2 linked regions of the Schizosaccharomyces pombe genome follow. The protein of the gene in region 2 interacts with the protein of the main gene of each other region in a pairwise test. Each region holds a gene or a part of one and is shown on either strand. Other genes may lie near its edges.

Region 1 (4,469 bases), on a different chromosome or scaffold from region 2:
CCAAATAAGACGAAGGCTCGTCAAACATGTAAACGTCAGCTTTTTGAGTGGCTACGGCAGCAATAGCAAATCGTTGAAGCTCACCACCAGAAAGATGGCCAACCTCACGATTTAAAAGATTTTGAAGATCGGTGTGATCCATAACTTCTTCAAAATTATTGTTGTTTGCACGAGCTTTAATTAAACCAGATACAGTTTTGTCACCAGTTTTAATCGCCCGTGGGATATGATCAACGTATTGAGGTTTGATAAGAGCCTTAATGTTATCTTCAACAACTTTGGTGAAAAAGTTTTGAAGTTCACTACCACGGAAGTATTTGACAACTTCAGCCCAGTCAGGAGGATTATCATAACGACCTAAATTAGGCTTCATTTTTCCGGATAGGATCTTTAACGCAGTAGACTTTCCAATACCGTTAGTACCAACTAAGCCCAAAACTTGACCAGGACGAGGAGTAGGCAAACGATGAAGCTTGAAAGAATTAGCAGAGTAACGATGGGTTACTTCACTTTCCAAGTTAGTGGGCAAATTAATAATGTTGATAGCTCCGAATGGACATTTTTTGACACAGATACCACAACCAATACATAATGTTTCACTAATAAATGCAATGCGATCGGTAGGATTAACTTCAATACACAATTTACCGGTGCGCACGACAGGGCAAGACCGGCGGCATTCTTGCCGACATTTCTAAAATATTGGTGAGCAAACTAATAAAAACCAAACATTCTAAAACCAGAAGCATTAAAAGCAAAGGAAAGTTTCGTAAGCAAGCAATAAAACGTATTTTAACGTGACACAGACCACTTTGAAAGTTTATTTAAATTTTCGGTCCTTTACCTTACAAGAACCTTTAGATTCGTTTAACCAACATATGGTGACAGCCAAGCCAAGCAAAAATTTACTACTAGTCCGAAAGTGCTTGGCAGATCGTAACAGGATCAAAAAATCTGAACAGAGGTACAATCAGGGCAGTTAAAATATGTTTTAATACTTGAACAAACAAAATTTGACTCAACTCTTTTCGTGGAAAACTTTGTGCACACACAAAAAAGCTCCAGTCATCCACAACGAGTAGACTATAACCTTCTACTAATAAAGCTCCTTTAATTTTTTTATTTTCTTACCTTTGGTCTACACTTATCCTCACTAACAATGGCGATTCTAGTAAGACTTTCGCTCATGGTGTTGAGTAGGGTGCAGTTGGCAAAGGACAACTTAAGGTGCGCCCAATTTTTTGCTTGTACTACCAGTCAACCTACTACAGTTTATAAAAATGCTACATTACATTTCGAATAAAATAAATAAAAAAGATAAATTCAAGTTTCTGAGACTGTAGAAAGATGTATTTTCTTAAATCGTCATTACGAAAATTTTTTATTGCCAATACGGACCTAGCGCTAAGTCATTGCCCATTTAATTGCAGACCAAATAATTGGTCAAAGATATGAAAGTTTGGAAGAGCCAGTTTTTGCAATTAAAAAACATAAGAATGAAGAAAAGAAAAACATCCTTCAATCTGCATAAATACTTATAAGATGCACATTGCATTAGCACACTCAATGCCCAAGTCCAGCCAATATCTAAGGGGACAGCTGGGTTTATTATATATTCAAGCTTCTTTAAATATCTACTAAATTTGCAGTATATAGTTCATCAATCGTAAACATAATTGTAAAAATAAATTGACAGTCAAAGACCCTTCTACTTTTACTTCAAATTGAAAATACAGCGATTTATCAAAATACGAAATACACTTTTTCGTGCTTTCCTTATTTTTTTAATTCATTACAGTCTAGCACTATAAAAAATTTAACATACTATTACCCCTGCTTTTAAATAACAATTGCGCAGAACAATTTGTCTCTACCAGATATCACTATTCTAAAATTGCTCAAGAAATTGAAAAAATGGCGCTACCATCCTGATAAGCAGTCACAACTATAATCAGCATATAAGGCTAAAGAATAACCTTACTTGCTTTACGAAACCTTGAGAGCTTCTTTTGACGAAATTCGCAAGCATATCTACATTTATTAGATTCATTGATAAAGAAGGGTTTTCATTGTTTCCTTATATTTGACGAAACTAATCGCTTGTCTTATTGTTCAATCTTTTCTAGTTTTTTGATTCCATATTTCCTTTACAAGTATCTTGGATTCCCCAATGGCTCAAACTTTTTTGTTTACTTCTGAATCTGTCGGTGAAGGTCATCCTGACAAAATTTGCGACCAAATATCTGACGCTATTTTGGATGCTTGTTTGAAGGATGACCCCTTTTCCAAGGTAGCATGTGAGACCGCTTCCAAAACCGGTATGGTAATGGTTTTTGGTGAAATTACTACTCGCTCACAAATTGACTACCAAAAGGTTATTCGTAATACCATTAAGAGCATCGGTTATGATGACTCTGAGAAGGGTTTCGATTACAAGACTTGCAACGTCCTCGTCGCCATCGAGCAACAATCTCCTGATATCGCTCAAGGTCTTCACTATGAGAAGGCTTTGGAAGAGCTCGGTGCTGGTGACCAGGGTATTATGTTTGGCTATGCAACTGATGAGACCCCCGAGAAGTTACCTTTGACCATTCTCCTTGCTCACAAACTCAATGCTGCCATGTCTGTCGCTCGTCGTGATGGATCTCTTCCATGGTTGCGTCCTGATACCAAGACTCAAGTCACTATTGAATATGAAGAGGAAAACGGTGCTGTCATCCCCCGTCGTGTAGATACCATCGTCGTCTCTGCTCAACACGCTGATAGCATCTCTACTGAAGACTTGCGTTCTGAAATTTTGGAGAAGATCATTAAGCCTACTGTCCCTGCTCATTTGTTAGATGAGAAGACTGTTTACCACATCCAACCTTCTGGTCGTTTCGTTGTTGGTGGTCCTCAAGGTGATGCTGGTCTCACTGGTCGTAAGATTATTGTTGATACCTATGGTGGCTGGGGTGCTCACGGTGGTGGTGCCTTCTCTGGTAAAGACTACTCCAAGGTCGATCGTTCTGCCGCCTATGCTGCTCGTTGGATTGCCAAATCTTTGGTTGCTGCTGGTTTGGCTCGCCGCTGCCTTGTCCAACTCTCCTATGCTATTGGTGTTGCTGAGCCCCTTTCTATTTTTGTCAATACTTACGGCACTTCTTCCAAGACATCTGCTGAGCTTGTTGAAATTATCCGCAAGAACTTTGACCTTCGTCCTGGTGTTTTGGTCAAAAGCCTTAAGCTTCAAACTCCTTTCTATCTTTCCACCGCTTCTTACGGTCACTTCACTGATCAATCCAAGCCTTGGGAACAACCTAAGGAGCTTAAGTTTTAGACAGATAGCTTAGTGCTATCATTAGCTTTTCTCGTTTGTTACGTTAAATACGATTAGAACATGTAACGAATTCTCAGTTGATGGCTTTATGGATACATGGTTTTCTTTAAAGATGAAAAGATTTTAGAGTTGTCTTTATTTATTCTATGTTTGCTTCTTTGTTCTTCAATTGTGAAAGATATATGGTTTTATATGTTAAGTCCTGGTTCAACGGATATGTATTTTTTTTTGGACTGGGTAGGCACAAATTCAACCTTTGTGTTTATGACTGCATCTCGAAGCGGAAAATACACTAAGCCAAAAATTTTTTTGCATACCGACATGTTAATGTTTCTTTTACCGATAGGCTTAGTGTTATTTGATGCTTTTCACGATAGTTATTATTTGCTGACTTTCAACTAGTTGGCCACTTTCGTTTAAATTGAGTTAATTATATGTTAATGGATTTGGTTCAAGACATAGTGTTTTAATCGTATAAGAACGAGTACTCATCTTCACTGTAGCTAATTTAGCTCGCTCACTTGTAACAAGGTGCATGCACACACAATACAAGCGTTTTGATTTTATTGTAATTTGTAATGAATTGAAAATGTCAAACTTAAAAAGGTAGACAATCATTCAGCTTTCAAGATGATCTGTGATAGTAAATGTCATTGGATTAAAACACATTGCTTGCTTACATTATTGTATTTATGGAATAAGCGATGGATTCTCAGCGATCCTAAAAGTACTTAGAATTATATTGGTCTTTTTTTTTGTAGTATAAATATTCAAAAATTCTTCACTAGATGTCTACGGCCATACCTAGGCGAAAACACCAGTTCCCGTCCGATCACTGCAGTTAAGCGTCTGAGGGCCTCGTTAGTACTATGGTTGGAGACAACATGGGAATCCGGGGTTTTGTAGGTTCCTTCTTTATTATTGCTGTTTGGTTTTTACCTTCTCTTTTGGAGCATATTTTGAGTACTGAATTGTGAATCTCAAATTCTATAGATGTTGCTACTCGTTGATTAAGCAATGCTAGAGCAGACTTTGAACTCTCAAATCAAATAATTAAGAAGTTTATGAAAGAAGGCTCTTGTCTTTGTCATGGGTATCGTCAAGCAAAATTCGATGTCTACATCAGATATTGTATAGGAAAATTATCAGA
Region 2 (4,181 bases):
TGTGCATTTCCATCGTGTCATTAAATCTTTTAAATGAAAAATATCGGCAAATTTCTAAGAGTAAAATTGAAATGAGGTTTTGCATGTGATTTTTAAACAGCGGTCTTTTAATAGAAGTCAAAATATATTTTACATTAACACTTATAGTAGCTATTGTATTTCAAAGTTAGTTACTGACCAAAAGTTTTTTACTATGAAATATGTAGAAGCGTTTAGTTTCTAACTAGGTATCCATGTCTCCCCTTCTATTGGGATTTGCAAGTGCAATTGGGAATAAGATCTAATTCTTCCTCTGATCCATTAGTTTCATTATGTTATCTTTGTAAGGTATTAGCAAAAGATCATCAGAACCTAATAATTGGTTCTCTATTCAGAATTTGGTAGATCATTAGTGCAAGATTTCCTCCAATAAGAGAATTACCGCGAACAAATCTATTAAGCTTCAGTATAAGCTAATTGTCCAAAAAGAATAAGTTCTTTAATCACTTGAATTTTATAGCATCGAGTTTTGAAGGGGACACCATGGCAGGTTTCACAAAAGGCCTCGAGTTGTTTGGAACTACGTTGGAAGCAAAAAGATAGACATGATTACTTTTATACAAACAAGACTCATTAAACGACGTGCGTGTCTACTAGAAAAGGCTCACTTATATAATTAATAAAAAAAATCCAAAATTTGATATATTAAACCGTTGTTTACATATTTTCCAAATCTAAAAAAGGTTCAAGCCAAAAAAAATGCTTTAGGATATGTTGAAGTGAACATTCAAGCCAGTGAAATGTAAAAGCTCATAATTTGTTCTAGGTATCGAGATAACGTTCTATTTACATAGCCGATTTGAAAATAGCCTTTACCTCGTCATGTGTAGGCTGAATAGGGTTAGTAGCACCACAAGCATCCTTCATAGCGTGGTCAACCAAGACATCAAAATCTTTTTCCTTGACACCTAGATCAACTAGATGAGGACGAATTTTAACTTCAAGAACAAGTTGACTGATGCGGTCAAGAGCTGCTTCGGCAGTATGCTCTTCACAACCCAAGTGAAAAGCAATATCACCAAGGCGAGCATTTGCTCTTGGATCCCTAGAATTAAATTTCTGTACATGGGCAAGAAGAACAGCGTTACAGACGCCATGTGGAATACCGTAGAAACCACCAAGTTGATGAGCCATAGCATGAACATAACCCAAAGATGCGTTGTTAAATGCCATACCACCAAGGAATTCGGCATAAGCCATATTGTCTCTAGCCTCTTCGTCCTTGCCGTTGTCGACAGCACGCTTCAAATACTTATTAACGAGTTCGATGCATTTGACAGCACAAGCATCGGTGATGGGATTAGCAGCAGTAGAGACGTAAGCTTCAACAGCATGAGTCAAAGCGTCCATACCAGTAGCAGCGGTCAAGGAAGGAGGTAATCCATACATTGTTTCAGGATCGTTAACGGAAAGGATAGGCATAGTATGCTTATCGATAATAGCCATTTTAATATGACGGGTCTCTTCGGTGATAATTGCGAAACGAGTCATTTCAGAAGCAGTTCCTGCAGTCGTATTGATTGCAATCAAGGGAAGTTGAGGTTTGGAGGATTTATCAACACCTTCATAATCCGCAATTTTACCGCCATTAGTAGCTAACAAAGCAATACCTTTGGCACAATCGTGAGCAGAACCACCACCAATTGATACCATAGAATCACAGTTTTCCTTCTTAACGATTTCGAGACCTTGGTTGACATTTCCAACGGTGGGATTAGGTTGAACACCATCGTAAAGGTGAACAGTGATGCTTTGTTCTTCCAACAGAGCCTTAACTTTGTCATACAAACCGACCTTAATAATACCAGGATCGGTAACAATTAAGGTGTTTTTGAAGCCGCTCATCTTAATTTGCTTGGCGGCTTCAGCAAGACAACCTTTACCGAAAAGGTTGAAAGAAGGTATGTAGAATGCGCTAACAGGCATGGCTTTCGAAGAGGTTGATTGATGCTTTAAGCCATTAGTAAAAGATTGATTACAAGAGGAATGAAAGAGTGACGGAAAGAATCGAGCAGGCGATCGAATTAAACGAAATGGAGAACGAAGAATGGACATGTTAAAAAGAAAATCGCATCTAAAGCTTAACCTCCGATATTTTTTAGAATCAATAATATACAAAGTATGAAAAAAAATAAATAATTAGCCAAACGGAAAAGAAATATGTAACAATCGGTCAAAAAAGTCAAGGGGGAATGAGCCTTAAGTAGTGTACGAAAATTTCTCCAATATCAATGTGTAATCAATTAGTGTCTAAAATTTCGATACTTCCACTCCTTATCTCGCTTAACGAACACTTATCGAACATCGATCTTTTTACAACAATTTCGCTAAATAGATCTGCAGCCAACTCCAACGTCAAATAAATGCTAAGGAATTAAAAGATCTTCAAATGATTTTCAAAACAAAATTGCTTGTCACCAAAACTCTTTTCCAAACGACATCAAATCACCTCCAAACTGTCATTCTTTCCGCCATTATCATAAATTTTACTTACCAAAAAGTAGAAGATCAAATATTTCTCTACCCAAAAGGAATTGGAATATTCTGAAGCGTCTTGAGTATGAAGAGCGCCATTATATACAATTGTCTGAGTAACAATTCCAAGCAATATGAATGGTCACATTCCGTTTCTTTTACCCTCAAGTTGATAGGCAGTAAGTTCGTCGTAAGACATATGTAACATTTTTAGATTCCTGGGAGAACTTTTCCAAAACAAAGCAACCCGAATTACTGCAAACTTTGTGATTTTGGCATGCATGCCATCCAAATGCCAAAAAGTGCGTTACCTTAACGTTGGAACAATTCTCAAAAAGGGTTTTTTTCGTTATTTGACGTGATCGTCGTCGATGCTGATTGGCAGTAAAACCTCAAGATCTTCTAGAAGATCCACGGATTTACCATGTTTATGTGGATCACTGCGGCTCTGTCTCCAAGGGGAATATACGGTCAAAGCAATCGCATTATCGCTGGTTCATCTTCCGGTTCTTCTGGACAATTTTTTTGCTTATCGTAAAATCGGAATGAGAATGACTGCTGGCAACGTGCCTCCGGAATTTTTAGCACACATTGTTTGGCATTTGCGGCGCTGTAAAAATTTATGTTATTGTTTGTAAGAGGAGCATCAGAGCTTAGTTGAAGTGTTGGGATGAATACAAAAGTTTCTGAATTGGTTTGAAAGCGACATCTTTAAAGGGATTTTATACTATTTCACTAAAAATTAAAAATTTCTCTTTGACTCAATGCCCTTTAAAAAAAAATTAAAACTTTTTTATATATGAAAACACTTGGGAATAATTACATGGGCCTTTTTTCATGATGATCGAACAAAGGGGAAGTATGTCTAAGCAATCCTAAATAAGTTTATCGTCAAGTAAAAGAAACACAACGTTTTATTAAGAACTTGTAAATTAACAAGCTCGATCATATCGAAAGTAAAACAGCATGACAGTCTTAACTTCATACAAATTGTATTGTGGGCCGGATTTTCCAGCCCCACTTGAAAAGAAGGAAAAAAGAGAGAAAGGAAAAATACGGAATATTAGTTTTTTAATAGTTTTGACAAAAGGGCCAATCTGGAAGGTTAGTTCAATGGAAAGCACCAGTTATAATGGGTGCATCGAAAACCTTGACTGTAAATTTAGAAAGTCATTCATTGAAGAAATAATAGCCTACGAAGGTTTTGGCAAATATATAGAGGTAATCAATTTTTAAATTTTTTTTTTGTCAAAAAGGAAACATGATTGCAGGTAATCAACATGATCAAATGTACCTTTTTTTTTGGTAATCGAACCCCCATAACCCAAGTAGTAATTAAAATCAAAGAAAGTAGCAAATGATGGAAATGGTCAAACTTGGATTTGATTGTTTCATAAGGTCAAAATTCATCTCACAAATGTTCGTTTTTGTGTTATTTACCAATACATCATTCTCCTTTAAGAGCAAACACCATTGGATGAAGTATTTAAAAATCTATTGACTTTTTAAACCCCATTCTCCTAAATATCTGTTAATCGCCCGATTGTATAGGAAACGACAGCATAGTGAAGGATTGGCGACATAAACTTTAGTATTCGAATGGGCAAACAAGAAAACAAATTCTAACATTAAACTATTTCGAGTGAAAACTATGGATAATTTCATTC

Evidence for each region.
Region 1: the proteins of adh4 (region 2) and sam1 interact in a two-hybrid assay, tested with the Schizosaccharomyces pombe proteins (one large-scale study listed by BioGRID).

The regions. Positions count from the first base shown.
Region 1 is NC_003423.3:4,161,378-4,165,846, reverse strand, and holds sam1 (S-adenosylmethionine synthetase), read left to right. Parts: upstream 1-1,988; 5' UTR 1,989-2,170; coding exon 2,171-3,319; 3' UTR 3,320-3,778; downstream 3,779-4,469. Other genes in the region: Fe-sulfur ATPase Rli1, read right to left, coding at 1-694, 1,132-1,188. UniProt on the Schizosaccharomyces pombe protein: Catalyzes the formation of S-adenosylmethionine from methionine and ATP. The reaction comprises two steps that are both catalyzed by the same enzyme: formation of S-adenosylmethionine (AdoMet) and triphosphate, and subsequent hydrolysis of the triphosphate.
Region 2 is NC_003424.3:155,723-159,903, forward strand, and holds adh4 (alcohol dehydrogenase Adh4), read right to left. Parts: upstream 2,211-4,181; 5' UTR 1,966-2,210; coding exon 826-1,965; 3' UTR 708-825; downstream 1-707. Other genes in the region: SPOM_SPAC5H10.07 (uncharacterized protein), read left to right, coding at 3,481-3,750. UniProt on the Schizosaccharomyces pombe protein: Involved in ethanol oxidation in mitochondria.